4 linked regions of the Macaca mulatta genome follow. The protein of the gene in region 1 purifies or fractionates together with the protein of each later gene. This does not show direct contact. Links are inferred from orthologs where the notes say so. Each region holds a gene or a part of one and is shown in the gene's direction. Other genes may lie near its edges.

Region 1 (3,560 bases):
TGTGTCGCCCAGGCTGGAGTGCAGTGGCCGGATCTCAGCTCACTGCAAGCTCTGCCTCCCGGGTTTTTACGCCATTCTCCTGCCTCAGCCTCCCGAGTAGCCGGGACTACAGGCGCCCGCCACCTCGCCCGGCTAGTTTTTGTATTTTTTAGTAGAGACGGGGTTTCACGGTGTTAGCCAGGATGGTCTCGAACTCCTGACCTCGTGATCCGCCCGTCTCGGCCTCCCAAAGTGCTGGGATTACAGGCTTGAGCCACCGCGCCCGGCCAGATGTTTACTAGTTCTTAAGAGCTCCCTCCATTTGTGCAGGAGATGAAGACGGCACAGAGATAGATACCCTACGGTTTCGTCTCCAAGTCAGATGCACTCGGAACCCCCATGCTGCTAAAGATTCCTCTGACCCCAACGAACTGTATGTGAACCACAAAGGTAAGTAGTGGTAGGGTGAGGAAGAGGCCCCACCTGTGGGTGGCTGCTAGTTTTAGGAACTGAAATCTTTTGACATGTTTTTCCTCCAGTGTATACCAGGCATATGACATGGATCCCCCTGGGGAATCAGGCTGATCTTTTCCCAGAGGGCACTATCCGACCAGTGCACGATGACATCCTCATTGCTCAGCTGCGGCCTGGCCAAGAAATTGACCTGCTTATGCACTGTGTCAAGGGCATTGGTGAGAACCCTGTGTTCCTTCCTGGGAAGAGGGGTAGTTTGGTTGCAGTGGGGCAAGCTGACTAGGGAACTCAGCTGAGATATTCCTAGCAGGTAGAAAGCCAAGAGCATCGTGCTTTTGCTGTTAGCAGCTTAGGAAGAGTATTCTTCCTAATCCTAGAAGGGTTTCGTATAGGCACTTTCTCTCTTCCTCTCCAGGCAAAGATCATGCCAAGTTTTCACCAGTGGCAACAGCCAGTTATAGGCTCCTGCCAGACATCACCCTGCTTGAGCCCGTGGAAGGGGAGGCAGCTGAGGAGTTGAGCAGGTGCTTCTCACCTGGTGTTATTGAGGTGCAGGAAGTCCAAGGTATGGTATTTGGGGTGCTGTTCAGGTTAGGACCTAAATTATATTTTCTTTGAAGGTGACAGAAATAAAAACCCTGGGTTCCTAAAAGTATAACATGGTTTGCTACCAAGGGGCAAATTAGAAAAAAGAATAAAAAAACGTGGTTTGTTCTCATTAGGTAAAAAGGTGGCCAGAGTTGCCAACCCCCGGCTGGATACCTTCAGCAGAGAAATCTTCCGGCATGAGAAGCTAAAGAAGGTTGTGAGGCTTGCCCGGGTTCGAGATCATTATATCTGTGAGTATGAAGTGGTGAGATGAGTGGGCAGTACTCTTTGGTGCTGCAGCTTCCTTCCAGTCTAGATGTGAAGTTTGAGTAACAGGGGCTTTCTACAGGCAAGCCCCGCCTAGGCTAAAGTGTCTCTTTGATCCCCAGTCTCTGTTGAGTCAACGGGGGTGTTGCCACCAGATGTGCTGGTGAGTGAAGCCATCAAAGTACTGATGGGGAAGTGCCGGCGCTTCTTGGATGAACTAGATGCGGTTCAGATGGACTGAGCTTGGATGTTCCTGAGGCAAGCTGAAGCTTTGGGTTCTGACTGACCCACCCTACAGGACTGCTGTACAGAGAGCCCAGTGTGACTAGGGATCCTGAGTTTTCTGGGACAATTCCAGCTTTATTTTTAATCAATACATTTTGTTAAATGTGCCATAAAATGAGACTTTTAGGCCTTTGTAAGGCCTTAGATGTAAATAAACTCATGTCCAAACAAAACTTTTTGAGACAACTTTTATATTTTTTGAGACAGAGTCTCACTCTGTTGCCCAGGCTGGAGTGCAATGGTGCAATCTCTGCTCACTGCAACCTCCTCCTCCTGGGTTCAAGCAATTCTCTTGCCTCAGCCTCCTGAGTAGCTGGGACTACAGGTGTGTACCACCACGCCTGGCTATGTGTAATTTTTTGTATTTTTAGTAGAGAGAGGGTTTCACCATATTGGTCAGACTGGTCTCAAACTCCTGACCTCAAGTGATCTGTCTGCCTTGGGGCCTCCCAAAGTGTTGGGATTACAGGTGTGAGCCACTGCGAAAAACAGGGCCTCACTTCAGAACTGGTTTGACCTTTAGCAATTAAGAACATCAGATGTACACTCCAGCCTGGGTAACAGTGAGACCCTGTCTCAAAAACAACAAAAAACACCTCCTGAGAATTGGCAAATTAAGGTGGTTTCTGGGAGTACAGCCAAACCCCTAGAAAAACATTCAAGCTAGAGTGAATGCACCATTTCACCTGTCTCCCGGATTACCAGGGAAGTTCATGCCGCTATTGACAGCTCCAACAAAGAACAGTAGCAATTCCTTTGGGCCAGGCCCAGCAGCCACATATGAAAGACACTGTGAGAATGGTATGGGCTGCCTAGTCTGGGTGTGTCAGGATAGAAATCCTTTTCTAACTGGCACACCATTTCAGAAAGCTTGAAAGACCAGGTTCATCAGTCACATTTCTTCCTGTTCAGTCCCCTTTTGCAGGGTGCTCATGGAGTAACTCTGGAGTATGTCACTGGTTTTAAGACTAGGTTGAAAAAGGCAGATGGGTCCCTTTCTGTATGAAACTGAGACTTTTACTGACATGCAGATGTGCTTTGGAGTTAATGTTTCTACAAAAAGTTTCTATAAACAATAGAAAACTTCTAGCATGAAGTCACAGGATGTTAAAAATATTACAACACAATAAATACAACTACACCCTCCACAGCCCCAACCAGACAGGAATAGGCAGCTATCAGGTTTGGAGGGAAACACTCTTGAGATCGCCTTCACAATCCACAGGAACCCAGAGCACCACACGGGAAGAGGGAGCAACATGAGACTCCAACTTCTGCTTCCTCAGCTTTGCCTCTTCCCAATCTGACCCTGCCTCTGGCCCACACCAGCTAAAAACTATAGCTTCAGTCCACTTCGGCTCTCATGGAAACCCTCTTGTCAGTGGATTGGTGGACAACAGGTCTGTTTTTGTGCAGAGCACATGGACACACTGGTTTCTGTATGGATTAAGTCTGCCTTTATGGCCAGTAATAATGTCAGGGCCAGGTCCCATATCCGAGTCCTGTTTATAGGGCCTTTCAGTGACCTCTAGAATGGACTCACAGTACAGGTTGTGATGCGAAGGCATGTATTCTTTTCTTTTGGAGATGGTCTTTGAGAAAAGTAACCAGGGACCTGAAAGACCATGAGATTGCGGAAGGCACCTGGTCTTAGTCCTAGAAGACCAGTGGCTTTGCTAGCTGCTTATCACAGATATAGCCTAGTTGGTCTGTTTTATCCTTGGATGACAATGGTGTCATGTGACACTCTCTAGGGTACTGTGGCTCTTGTGCCTGAGTGGACCTTGAGGCTGGGGAAGCCAAACTGAGGGGTCATTCATGGAAGGGCAAGATGTGTGAGCTCTAAAGGGGATGTTAGCACTAAAGACTGCCCAGCCCTGGTCCTTGGAGGTACTATACTTGACACTGTGCCAAGTTTAGCAGTAGCCTATACCATGCGTCCCATCAGGTGACCAGATTCTTGCCCA
Region 2 (4,154 bases), on another chromosome or scaffold:
CATTTACATCCCACTTCCACTTAGGCTGCAAGCTCTTTATCACTTATTATTTATTAACTCGCTATCAGGTTATTCATTCAGAGTGCATTGTTTGCGTTTTTCTTGGTTTTCTTTGGAGGAGGGATGAGATGTGGGGGGCTACTGTAGTGAATAATACAGATATTATGGTCCCCACTTTAGTGAGTGTAGGAATCTATTGACGGAACAGGCAAGCAAATGGCAGTTAATATAAAATTAACATTTAAAAAACATGCATGGGTAACTACCTAATCCTTATAGAGAAAGAGGTGTGGGGTGGTTGAAAACTCTTTGCAAAGGGACAGAATGTAAAATCTAAGCTAAAAATTGATACGTGAGGAGAATTTACCCTTGTGAAAATATTATATTTCCCGGTAGAAGGAACAGCATAAGACTGCAGAAAGAGTGACCTGAAAGTGGATCAAGGGGCATAATATTAGGGTGGGGAGTGTGACAAATGAAGCTGAAGAGAGAGGCTGCGTGCCCACACAGATCACAAAATGGCCTTGTATAAGCATTTTTCAGGAGTTTGTGTTGTCCTAGAGAAAGTGGGGTGCCTATGTAGGGCTTAAACAGGGCACAACACAATCATATGTGTTTCAGGGAAGATCTGGCTGCCCCAGGGCGTCCTCCTGACCATTGAGCTAGGCTTCCACAGGCAGGGAGTCCTGTGGTTTTGTCGGCAGGGAAAGAGAATAGTGTCCAAACAGAATGATATATCCACTTTGGGCAATACAGGCCTTCAGGCTGATTTAATATTTGGGAAAACAAAAGAGGATCCGAGGCTGACAGGTTGGCTGTGGTATAATTCCCTGATTTAGCATGTGCATAATGAGGAGAGAAGTGGGACAGGAGAGAACTAGTAGGTTCGTTTTAAGATATGTTGCATTAGAGTTATCAGGCCTGCTTCTTAGGATTTCGTGTCCTGCATAAAATACACTCCATAAATATTTTGATTTTTTATTGTACAGTCCAAGCTTGTAAAATTCTACCAAACCACCTTACTACTGGAAATGATCAAAGTGAAAACCCCCCTTTTTAAGCTGCCTACTTAATCCAATAAGCTTCTGTACGAAAACACATATTTGCCTGCCCTTAAAAGAGCAGACAGTTGACTTTCCTGCATGCTCAATGCATATCCCAGGCTCTAAGCTCCCGTCCTCGAAGCGCGAAAATACGGTTCCCCCTGCCGGCCAGAGCGGCGTAATACAGCGTAAGGAGGAGAAATTCCTAGGGGCGTGGTAGTTGGTGGATGACGTAAAAAGAGCGTCGGGGACAGGCGATTGTGCTTGCGTCAACGGCGCGCGCCGTGGGAACCTTGACAAGCGGCATGGCTGCGGGTTGTTCAGAGGTGCCGCGGCCAACGGCGGCTTCTGATGGGTCTCTGGTAGGGCAGGCTGGCGTCCTGCCTTGCCTAGAGTTGCCGACTTATGCCGCTGCTTGTGCGCTGGTGAACAGTCGCTACTCATGCCTGGTGGCTGGGCCGCACCAAAGGCACATCGCGCTGTCTCCCCGCTACCTGAACAGGAAACGCACTGGCATTCGAGAACAGCTTGATGCGGAGCTCCTTCGCTATTCTGAGAGGTACCGATCTCTTTGCCTGTTCCTTCTTTTGTGCACGGGAAGTAGCAGCAGGTAGATATGCTGACAACGCAGCAGAAAGGGGGCAAATAGTAAAGGTCGCATTGCCCCCCCAGAGCTTAGCCCCGTGGAATTCTAGAGTCGCGATCCGCCCCTCAAGGCCAGTACCACTGTGGTGAAGATCTTTATAGGGTCCCTTTCATAGATAGAGAAGAAAACTTAAAGATGAAGTTCAGGTGTCGGCGGAAGGAGTGGAGATTCTCGCTCCAGAATCCTGGTGTAGGGGTAGGAACAGACCAGGGGTCTGGAGACCTAGTAGGCCCAGTTCTGTTTGGCATTCAACGTTTCATTTATCCCGTTCCGGATGATGTTTTCTCATTTGACGATAAAAATTTGGTTTGCAGTGCTTAAGTAGATTCTCATTCCATCGAAGATTGCACATGAAGCATTAGTACAACCGTTCTACCTGTAAAACGTGAAGCACGTTTTTTTCTTACTGTATTTCAATCTGGTAATTTCCCCATTTTCTCTTCTTTTGGACCTGAGTTGTTTTTAAGACGATTTATTCAATCGAACTAATGAGCCTGTTGCTTTTGGGAGAGAAAAAAACAAAAGGTATGCATTTATATTACGGTATTCAGAAGTGCCTTGAAAACAGAATTACAGAGGTGTGTGGCGGGGGGCGCGGGCATGTGCTTCAGTATTCCTCTGGACTATACTTTGGTTCAAAAGCGAGGTTCTAATACTAGAGTGAATGGATTCTTTAGGGATTCATGACTGCCCTTCAGGAATTCTTATGTGAAGTTCCTTGGGCACTGTATCGGAAGCTTTTATCACTTTCTTAAGGGATCCTTGACCTCCACACACAGGTTAATAATCAAGCATCTCCAGAATATACAGCTTCTTCCAAGCACCAATATACACTTCTCGTATGTTTATATTATATACCGAACACTTGAGATACAAAAACAAACAAAAAATGAAATCCCTCTTTCAAGGAGCTTTAAGCTGTAGTAGAGATACAAATACAAGCCAATAAATAGTAAGGTGTTAAAATTTGACAGAAATCTAACAAGATAAGGAGTGTTGAATTGGGATCTTGGGACCTCTGAGAACAACTTGAGTGAAGACGGTACTTTCCCATGGTAGCATTCCAGGCAAAGAGTGGCATAAACAAACGGATACTGGATGTGAACCGGTATGCTTTGCCCAGAGAACCGTATCTATTATATAAGTAGAATAAGGTTTATGTCAGGGGAAAGGCATTGGATGCCATTGGAGACGAGGGCAGGGGTGACTCAGAGAGGATGGCCATTTTGCTTTTCCCTTCCTGTCATTGCCAGTTTTTGTTCTTTTGGGGGTAAGGTGGGGTTGTTGTTGTTTTTCCTTTTGTGTTTCTGTTTTCATAGGCAGGGTTAGTGCTTCATCCTCTCAGTACCCTTTAACTCTGAGACTTGGTACACTTTTGAGAACGCAGTACTTATCTGCAGTTCCTGGCATATCAGATTTGCAGTTTAAGAAACAGTACTTGTTAGCCTTACTTAATGGTTAGCTACCAAATAGGATGAGAAAGTGGACAAGGAGAGGAATTAAGATCATGTTATAATTGTTCAAGAGAAAATGATTAGAGAGGATGGATTTGAGAGATTAAAGGATATACAAAGTAGTCATAACATCTGGAAACACAAGCAACCATCCTGTTTTCTGTAACCGTTTTGTATTGCCTGCATTTGACAGGCTAGGGCGGGAAATAACGAAATCTCGCGGAGTGACTCTGAACAGATCTGGCCACCACTCCTTTCATATTACTTGGATATGCTGAAGACCCCTGGTGAAATTATGCACCAGGTGAAAATCAGGCACCACACTTTGAACTATGCATTACTAATGAGGGACAAAACATTGAACATACAGTATTAAAGAACTAAAGTGAGGCTACCATCTTGCCCTGATACCTATTTAGGATGGTATCTGAAAAACAAAAGTGAAGAAGAAAAAGTATATAGTGTTGGGTGCCTGTGTTCACATATCTGATGACTCTTAACAAAATCCCCCTTGAATTTATATATTGCTAAATTCCTGAACAATTTAATATAGATTAAAAATATGCAAAGATGGCTGTGTGTTGATGTTAAGAGTTAAATTAGGTTCCTAGCTATTTGTAAACAGATTTGTCCTTTTATTCAAAAGTCAGAGCTAAGGATATTTCCTCATTGTACCGACTGTCCTGTACATGACAGACTCTTTTCTGCCCTGGCTTGTGCAAAGTTTGTGATAACCATGATTAGTATCACAAATTTCCAAATGTCCCCCCTCCCACCAGGGGACCACAGACCTCCTTCCAGACACGGCTTTGATTAGGAGAAATAAAGTCTTAATATTTGTTTTTCTGTCTAGTATGGCAGTTAATTTTTCTTCCTATTCTCTGACTCTGTTTTCTGTGTCCCTAACATTGTCTTAGTGATAGGATGATTCCAGCTTAGGAATGCCACATGCAGAAATGAAAACCTCAGAAGATTGCTTTCCCGAGTAAGTCTCTGAGTTAGGATTTTCCT
Region 3 (4,115 bases), on another chromosome or scaffold:
GTTATTTTGGTTAAAACACACTACAGTATACATCTACACTTCACCAGTTTTTAAAGGCAGGGTAGTGAGGTTCAGACTGGGCCCATCTCTACCACTTGTCAACACATGATCTTGGGCAAGTTACCAAATTCTTTTAGCCCATGCTAACTATCACGTGAAGACGAATGAGACTGGAATGTTGGGGAGAGAGAGCATGATGGGGCTATAGGAGGGGGTATGATCAGATCCTGCAAGGCCATGTGAACTACCATAAAGGTTTTGGACTTTTCTTCTTTCTTTCTGCTTTTCTCTTTCTTCTTTCTCTTCTTTCTCTTCTTTTCCTTCTTCTCCTTCTCCTTCTTCTCTTTCGTTTAGAGATGGGGTGTCACTGTCACCCATGCCAGAGTGCAGTGGCATGATTGTAGATCACTGGACTACAGGTGTGCACCGCCACCCCTGGCTTGGATTTAGTATTCTAAGTTCAATGGGTTGTACTTTTTGTTCCAATTTATTATCACTTTTCTTTTTATTTTATTTTATTTTTTTTGAGACGGAGTCTCGCTCTGTCGCCCAGGCTGGAGTGCAGTGGCCGGATCTCAGCTCACTGCAAGCTCCGCCTCCCGGGTTCACGCCATTCTCCTGCCTCAGCCTCCCGAGTATCCGGGACTACAGGCGCCTGCCACCGCGCCCGGCTAGTTTTTTGTATATTTTTAGTAGAGACGGGGTTTCACCATGTTAGCCAGGATGGTCTCGATCTCCTGACCTTGTGATCCGCCCGTCTCGGCCTCCCAAAGTGCAGGGATTACAGGCTTGAGCCACCGCGCCCGGCCTATTATCACTTTTCAATTGGGATATAATGTCTACAAATAAATGCAAAAATCTTGCCCTGAGTTCAATTAGTTTGGACACTTGTATACGTCAATGTTATACCACCGAAAAGAATATACAGAACATTTCCATCATCGCAGAAAAGTCCCAACTGTTCCTTTCCTGTCAATTCTCCTTGTCTCCGGAACACTTAAGGGTGCTAAGCATATTATGTTTGCGGTGGTTTTTTTTTTTTTTTTTAACTTAGAAGATGTGGTAATATATGTTTGCGTTCCCAAAGGATCACTCTGCTGCTGTGCGGAGGACAGCAAGGCGGGTAAAGCACAGGCCAGGCGAGGGATAATCAGGCAGTATTGCACGGAGGTCGCCTAGCAACCAGAAAGCGCCGTCGGGAGCTGGGAAAACGCTCTGCTCCTGTGAAAGGAGGAGGCCCCGCCCCCCCCCGCCCTCTCTCCGCCCCACGCAGTGCGCGGGTACACGCTCTGTGCGCCTCGGACGGACAGAGGCTTCTTATTGGTGGGTTTTCCGGAAGCGATGGATTCGGAATCTCGCCCGCAGCCACGCAAAACCGAGCGGCTGTGTGCGGTGCGTGGTGCGCGGTACGTGCGGCGGCACGTGGCGCGGGTGCGGGGCGTGGCGTGGCGGGGTCGCGCGGCGCGGGCGCGCACCCGGAGCTCTGAACAGAGAGCGCCTCCTTCTGGCCTCGGTTTCCTCCCGTTGTAGTAGCGGAGCATGGCCCGGACCGGGCACCCGAGACCGCCCCGTGCAGCCTCACTGCCAGCCTGGGGGCCTCAGCGACCGCGACGGGACCAAGGGGCTCGGGGATCCTCTCCGCCCCCGGCCCTGGTGCTTGACTGACCCTCCCGTTCCCAGAGCCCCCAGCGCAGACCGGGATGTTTGTCCTGGTGGAGATGGTGGACACGGTGCGGATCCCCCCTTGGCAGTTTGAGAGGAAGCTCAACGACTCCATTGCCGAGGAGCTGAACAAGAAGTTGGCCAACAAGGTACTGGGCCCACGGCTCGCGGGCAGGCCTTGGCGCGGGAGAGCCAGCGCCGCCCACCGGCCGCAGGCCTGGCCTCCGTCATGCCAAGCCCTGGCCGTGGGCAAGCGGCTTAATGTCTCAGAACTTCTGTTCACCGTGAAACAGGATGTTGAAGGGGATCAAAAGAAAATGGGCTTAAAAAAGGGAGTTGTAACTGGAAGTGTCAGACTCTACAATTCTAAATTACTTTGCAATTGCAAGCAAGTTAACCCCTCTGGGCCTCAGTTTCCATTTGTAAAATGGGGATAAAATGTTGCTGTCCTTCCAGCCATGCATTGGTTTTTTGTTGTTTTTGTTTTGTTTCGTTTCGTTTTTTTTTTTTTTTTCTTTCCCCGAGACGGAGTCTTGCTCTGTCGCCCAGGCTGGAGTGCAGTGGCGCAATCTCGGCTCACTGCAAACCTCCGCCTCCTGGGTTCAAGCAATTCTCCTGCCTCAGCCTCCCGAGTAGCTAGGACGACTACAGGCACGCGCCTCCATGCCCAGCTAATTTTTGTATTTGTATTTGTATTTAGTTTTATTTTTATTATTTACTTATTTATTTGAGATGGAGTCTCGCTCTGTCGCCCAGGCTGGAGTGCAGTGGCGCGATCTCGGAACACTGCAAGCTCTGCCTCATGGATTCACGCCATTCTCCTGCCTCAGCCTCCCAAGTAGCTGGGGCTACAGGGGCCCGCCACCACGCCCGGCTAATTTTTTTTGGATTTTTAGTAGAGACGGGGTTTCACCATGTTAGCCTGGTTGGTCTCGATCTCCTGACCTCGTGATCCGCCGCCTCGGCCTCCCAAAGTGCTGGGATTACAGACGTGAGCCACCGTGCCCGGCCAATTTTTGTATTTTTAGTAGAGACGGGGTTTCTCCATGTGGCCAGGATGGTCTCGATCTCTTGATCTCCCCACCTTGGCCTCCCAAAGTGCTGGGATTACAAGCGTGAGCCACCGCTCTGGGCCAGTGCATTGTTTTTGTGAAGATGAACAGTTCTAGTAGTACAGAGTTAACTGTCAGGAGGTTCATCCCTTCATTCTAGCAGCCAATATTTGTGCGCCATCTCTGCGCCGTGCCTATGTGCCTTAGTGCCAGCTGAGAGGTCCTCCCACTGCCATTTCTCTGGCAGTCCTCCCTTTCCAGGTGTTCTGTGTCGCATCAGTCTTTCCATCTTAGACTTTTTCCTTTCCCTCTCTTTGAGAGCAGGGACTTATCTGTCTTCTTCCCTGAAGTATCCCCTCACTTAGCCAGAGCCTGGCACCAGTAGATGTTCCATAATTTTATGTTTTTTTGTTTGTTTGTTTGTTTGTTTGTTATTTAAACAGAGTCCCGCTCTTGTCGCCCAGGCTGGGGTGCAGTGGTGCAATCTTGGCTCACTGCAACCTCCACCTCCTGGGTTCAAGCTATTCTTCTGCCTCAGCCTCTTGAGTAGCTGGGATTACAGGTGCCTTCCACCACGCCCGGCTAATTTTTGTACTTTTAGTAGAGACAGGGTTTCGCCATGTTGGCCAGGCTGGTCTCAAACTCCTGACCTCAGGTGATCTGCCTGCCTCAGCCTCCCATAGTGCTGGGATTACAGGCGTGAGCCACTGCGCCCAGCCATTTGTCTGTTGAATGAAACAGAGGCAAGGCTCTGAGCTATAGTGTGCTGGGAAAAGCAGATATGAATGAGAGGGGTCCATAGTTGAGGGTGTGGTGACAAATTGAGGTAAATGCTATGAGGGACAGATGTTCACACACCTGTGGGAACAAAGGACCATCCCCTGGAATGAGGGAACCTGCGGCTTTGGTGAGGAGGTGGGGTTGGAACTGAGATCTGATGGTGAAGTAGAGCCAACCAGAGGATTCCTTTCTGGGGTGGGAGGGGCTGGGTGGAGAGAAGAGCCCTGAAGGCAGGAACTGGCATGTGCACAGGCCCTGTGAAGAAGGAATACAGACAGGGCATGGTGGCTCACACCTGTAATCCCAACACTTTGAGAGGTTGAGGCTGGTGGATCACCCGAGGTCAGGAGTTCGAGACCAGCTTGTCCAACATGGTGAAACCCCATCTCTACTAAAAATACAAAAAGTAGCTGTAGCTGGGCATGGTGGCGGGCGCCTGTAATCCCAGCTACTTGAGAGGCAGAGGGAGGAGAATCACTTGAACCCAGGAGGCGGAGGTTGCAGTGAACTGAAATCGTGCCATTGCCCTCCAGCCTGGGTGACAAGAGTGAAACTTTGCCTCAAAAAAAAAAAAAAAAAAAAGAAGAAGAAAGAAGAAGGGGTACAACACCCACCATGGTG
Region 4 (4,332 bases), on another chromosome or scaffold:
CTACAACCCAACCCAAAACAGCTTCTGGGTTTGTGATGCTGGTGCTGGCTAATAAGCTGCGTAAGTGTTGTTTGTTTTTTGTAGAGAGGAGTCTCACTGTGTTGCCCAGGCTGGTCTCAAACTCCTGGCCTCAAGCAATCCTCCTGCCTCGTCCTCCCAAAGTACTGGGATTACAGACCTGAGCCACCGCGCCTGACCTACAAAAGTGCTTTTTTCACAACCACAGCACTGCCTCTCAAGGAGCTAACAGTCTGGCAGAAACTCGTGAAAACCAATTTCATGTCGGAGGTAGCAACCCCAACATTCTATCCCGGCTCTTTTTCTTAAGTGAAGAAAGGGACAGGGTGGGGGGCGGAACAATGGTATTAAAGACACTAGCAACATGACAACCAAAATAAACGAAGTTGAAACAGTACGTCCTGCCTTCTTCCTAAAGCCATTTCCTTCAATAGTGATAGGAGTGCAGGCTGTCTGCAAGTCATTAGTACGCTGCTATTTTCACTTTCACAAGGACCCTGGAAACCTCTGAAGAGCAAAATCCTCCTTTTCGCCTCACAGATACCATCCAACCCCCTTTCTGTGCTTCCTTCCTTCCCCAGAGAAAACCGAATAGGGACAATCCTCAGCAATCCGCTATTTTGCTTCACTGACAAGGGAGGTGGCGGGGGCGGGGGGAGTGAAAAGTGGAAAAGAACGTAGAGGAAGGTGAGAAGACACAGCGGAAGGAGTATGGGGGGAGGTCATCGTGGGGAAAAGACCAGGTATAAAAGAATGCAAGAAAATTGAGGGGAGAGTTATCAGAGGGAAACTTGCTAAGAAAAAAATAATAATAATAAGGACAGGAGAGGTAAAGAGGTGAGATCAGGTGAAGCAGCCCACGATGAATTAAGAGGTGGGCAGGAGGTACGGGGCCGGAGCCGTGACGCCCAGGGTCTAGGGCCAGTGGCTGGAGAAGTGGGCAGCAGGTATTCGGCAGACCGATGTCCTGGGAGTCAAGGGTGTGCGGAAAGCTCCAAACCCAGTTCCGGGACATCAGAGCCAGGAATCTATGAGGTTCCCAAGTACAGAGAACACGGGGCTCTTACCGGTAGTTTGGGGCTGACCTCGCCCTTGCAAAAGTGGCAGAAAAACCGGTGGGCGGCTACAGCGGCGCCCGAGTCCGCCCCGGCCGCCGAAGCCTCCGCCATTTTTGTCCTCCGCCGCGGCCGTCCGAGAAGGCAGCCGGCCCGTCCCTCGCCAGGCCGCTACCTCCCGGGCTGCAGTAGCCACCGCCGCCTCGGTGCGGCCCACCGCTTCAGAGCCCGCGTCGGTCACGTGAGTCGGCCAGACCCAGAGAGGCGGCGGCGCCAACAGCAACCCTGCGGCCCGCCTCCCAGCACCAAATAGGCGCAGGAAGGAAAGGCAAACCTCCCGCCCGCCGGCTCCACAAACAGCCCCTCGCTGGTCCTCCAGCCTTCCAGCGAGAAGAAAGAAAGAGCGTCCCCGGAAGCCGCCGAAACTCTAGCGTAGAGCGGCACGCGCTTTTTGCCTTTCCGCGTCCTCTTCGGTGGCCGTCCTCTTCCTTGAAAGGGCGGTGGGCTCCACTTCCGCTCAGAAGGCCAGCGGGAGCCGCAGGAAGCCGTCGCGGGAAGTTCAGCAGCATTGGGGTTGGTGCCTCTGAACTGCGCTGATCCTGAGGTTAGTGGAAAATGCTGTCTGAACGTGGCAGCACTGACTGGACCAAGAGACCAAATCCGGAATGAGAACCTGTGTAAAGGGAGTGTAGAGCTAGGAGCCAAGCGTCTTGTAAGTCCTTTCCGAGGATGGCAAGGGATCTGGGAATGCTTCTCCAAAGATACGCGGATGGACGAAATAGGTCTCTGGTGATACTAAGGCTTCTTACGAATTGGAAGAAATAAGTAATGTTTGGTAGCAATTTGTAATAAGGAAGTAATCGTATAATAAACTACGTCCGTTTCTGATTGTGTCAACTTTATCAAGGAGTAGAAGTTTAAGAATTGAATGCTGTCCTGCAAACAACGTAACCTCATCTCCTATTTGACACGCCCTGTTGAGAAGCAGTCCTTTACCGCCTAAATTTCTTTTTCGAAATTATCATTTCCTTTATGAACTAAGAATAACACTGCCTGCTCACTTCCACCGGGCTGTGAACAGTGACCTTAATTCTTCCAAGCAATGAAGTGTAGAAACTAAGGTCTGTGACAGACTGCAAAATCATCTACTCCCAATCTTTAAAGAAAATCAGAATCATGCATAATCCCATAGAGGTATATTTGATGCACAGTCTTTTTCTATGCATACATTTTTCCTTTTTTTACAATAATTGAATCTTTATATTTTTTCAGCTTCTGTCACTTAATATATTATGAATAATTTTCCTCTTTTTGCTTTTTTTTTGTTTTTTTTTTTTTTTTGGAGACAGAGTCTCGCACTGTTGCCCGGGTTGGAGTGCAGTGGCGCGATCTCAGCTCACTGCAACCTCCGTCTCCTCACTTCAAGCGATTCTCCTGCCTCAGCCTCCCAAGTAGCTGGGATTACAGGCGCCCGCCACCACGCCAAGCTAAATTTTTTTTGTATTTTTAGTATAGAAGGGGTTCACTATGTTGGCCAGGCTGTTCTCAAACTCCTGACCTTGTGATACGCCCACCTCGGCCTCCCAAAGTGCTGGGATTGCAGGCATGAGCCACAGCGCCAGCCTATTATGAATAATTTTCTTCTACACGAATACACATGGTACTAAATAACTTTGTTGGCATAGTATGCCATTGTATGGGTATGCCATCATTTATTGTTAGACGTCAGATTGCTTCCAGTAAGTCTGTATTATAGAGAGAACTAATGACTTCATTATTATTAGCTTTTTATTCTTTCCTTGGATACAATATCCAAAAAGAAATTGTTGTTTCAAACATATGCAAGATTTTTAAGGCTTTTTGATATGTATTGTCAAATTGCCCTCCAGAAAGAATACATGAATTTACACTCAGCAGCTCTGCTTCCAGCATGAAAGACTTTCCATTGTACCGTTTTGGTGTTTTTTCCCTAGCTCTCAGACTCCCCAGTACCATGACTCAAGCAGAAATTAAGCTCTGTTCTTTGTTGCTGCAAGAGCATTTTGGAGAGATTGTAGAAAAAATTGGAGTCCATCTGATAAGAACCGGCAGCCAGCCACTAAGAGTAATTGCTCATGACACAGGAACATCACTGGATCAGGTATGTCTAAATGACATTAATTTTCTGTCATTTCACTAATTTATCTCACCCATCTTTGAATATTGTTCTTCTCACCCCAGAAAGGGAAAAATGAAGAAAACCTGCCCTGGGAGCAGAACAATGTTATTTGGGGAAGAAAAGGATGGGACTTAGGCATCAACATTTTGTTTCTCAAAGTGTTCCTAGTTCATGACAGCTTTTAGGCAAATCTTTGCTCTTCCCATGCCATACCTCGTTTATTCACAATAGGTCTTTTAATCTCAGTACTGCCTTTAAGGAATGAGAATGATGAAAGTAAATTGTGTTTTGAAAGATAAGGATCAGGCCGGGCGCGGTGGCTCAAGCCTGTAATCCCAGCACTTTGGGAGGCCGAGACGGGCGGATCACAAGGTCAGGAGATCGAGACCATCCTGGCTAACACGGCGAAACCCCGTCTCTACTAAAAAAAAAAACACAAAAAATTAGCCGGGCGAGGTGGCGGCGCCTGTGGTCCCAGCTACTCGGGAGGCTGAGGCAGGAGAATGGCGGGAACCCGGGAGGCGGAGCTTGCAGTGAGCTGAGATCTGGCCACTGCACTCCAGCCTGGGCGACAGAGCAAGACTCCGTCTCAAAAAAAAAAAAAAAAAAAAAAAGAAAGATAAGGATCAGAGTAAATATAGCAAGGAATCTTCCTGATTTATTGTATTGATGTCTGATTCTTATTAGCTACTCCAATGGAGAGAAAATAAGTGCAGAAATTATCTAGCCATTTTCTGATGCTTAGTAAGTTGTTGGACAAAAAATTTCCAGCAGTAATGAGCTATATCTTCAGGTCTTTCCTCTCTTCTCTTTATGTCCCATCTAGGTGAAAAAAGCCCTGTGTGTCCTCATCCAGCATAACCTGGTGAGTTACCAAGTGCACAAACGTGGTGTGGTGGAGTATGAAGCCCAGTGCAGCCGGGTATTGCGAATGCTTAGATATCCCCGGTACATCTATACTACCAAAACTCTGTACAGTGACACTGGAGAACTGATCGTTGAGGAGCTTCTGTTGAATGGCAAACTGACAATGTCAGCTGTTGTGAAGAAAGTGGCAGACCGGCTCACAGAGACCATGGAGGGTTAGTACTGTATCCATAG

The links. Proteins that work in one complex are often made in the same cells at the same time.
Region 2: the proteins of POLR1C (region 1) and POLR1F purify together in Homo sapiens (affinity purification with mass spectrometry; 3 studies listed by BioGRID and IntAct, counting the BioPlex papers as one, with this or other methods). This does not show direct contact. The link is inferred for Macaca mulatta from reciprocal best matches to the Homo sapiens genes POLR1C and POLR1F.
Region 3: the proteins of POLR1C (region 1) and POLR3H purify together in Homo sapiens (affinity purification with mass spectrometry; 5 studies listed by BioGRID and IntAct, counting the BioPlex papers as one, with this or other methods). This does not show direct contact. The link is inferred for Macaca mulatta from reciprocal best matches to the Homo sapiens genes POLR1C and POLR3H.
Region 4: the proteins of POLR1C (region 1) and POLR3C purify together in Homo sapiens (affinity purification with mass spectrometry; 5 studies listed by BioGRID and IntAct, counting the BioPlex papers as one, with this or other methods). This does not show direct contact. The link is inferred for Macaca mulatta from reciprocal best matches to the Homo sapiens genes POLR1C and POLR3C.

What each region holds. Positions count from the first base shown.
Region 1 is NC_133409.1:138,596,992-138,600,551, reverse strand, and holds part of POLR1C (DNA-directed RNA polymerases I and III subunit RPAC1), read left to right. Parts: intron 1-309; coding exon 310-429; intron 430-518; coding exon 519-671; intron 672-868; coding exon 869-1,018; intron 1,019-1,175; coding exon 1,176-1,292; intron 1,293-1,430; coding exon of another isoform or gene 1,431-1,549; exon of another isoform or gene 1,550-1,766; intron 1,767-2,588; exon of another isoform or gene 2,589-3,560. UniProt on the Homo sapiens protein: DNA-dependent RNA polymerase catalyzes the transcription of DNA into RNA using the four ribonucleoside triphosphates as substrates.
Region 2 is NC_133408.1:108,567,177-108,571,330, forward strand, and holds the start of POLR1F (DNA-directed RNA polymerase I subunit RPA43), read left to right. Parts: upstream 1-1,327; 5' UTR 1,328-1,348; coding exon 1,349-1,602; intron 1,603-4,154. UniProt on the Homo sapiens protein: Component of RNA polymerase I (Pol I), a DNA-dependent RNA polymerase which synthesizes ribosomal RNA precursors using the four ribonucleoside triphosphates as substrates.
Region 3 is NC_133415.1:9,959,031-9,963,145, forward strand, and holds the start of POLR3H (DNA-directed RNA polymerase III subunit RPC8), read left to right. Parts: upstream 1-1,288; 5' UTR 1,289-1,406; intron 1,407-1,526; exon of another isoform or gene 1,527-1,680; 5' UTR 1,681-1,700; coding exon 1,701-1,811; intron 1,812-4,115.
Region 4 is NC_133406.1:119,471,982-119,476,313, reverse strand, and holds the start of POLR3C (DNA-directed RNA polymerase III subunit RPC3), read left to right. Parts: upstream 1-1,505; 5' UTR 1,506-2,194; intron 2,195-3,046; 5' UTR 3,047-3,066; coding exon 3,067-3,213; intron 3,214-4,057; coding exon 4,058-4,313; intron 4,314-4,332. Other genes in the region: E3 ubiquitin-protein ligase RNF115, read right to left, coding at 1,086-1,187. UniProt on the Homo sapiens protein: DNA-dependent RNA polymerase catalyzes the transcription of DNA into RNA using the four ribonucleoside triphosphates as substrates.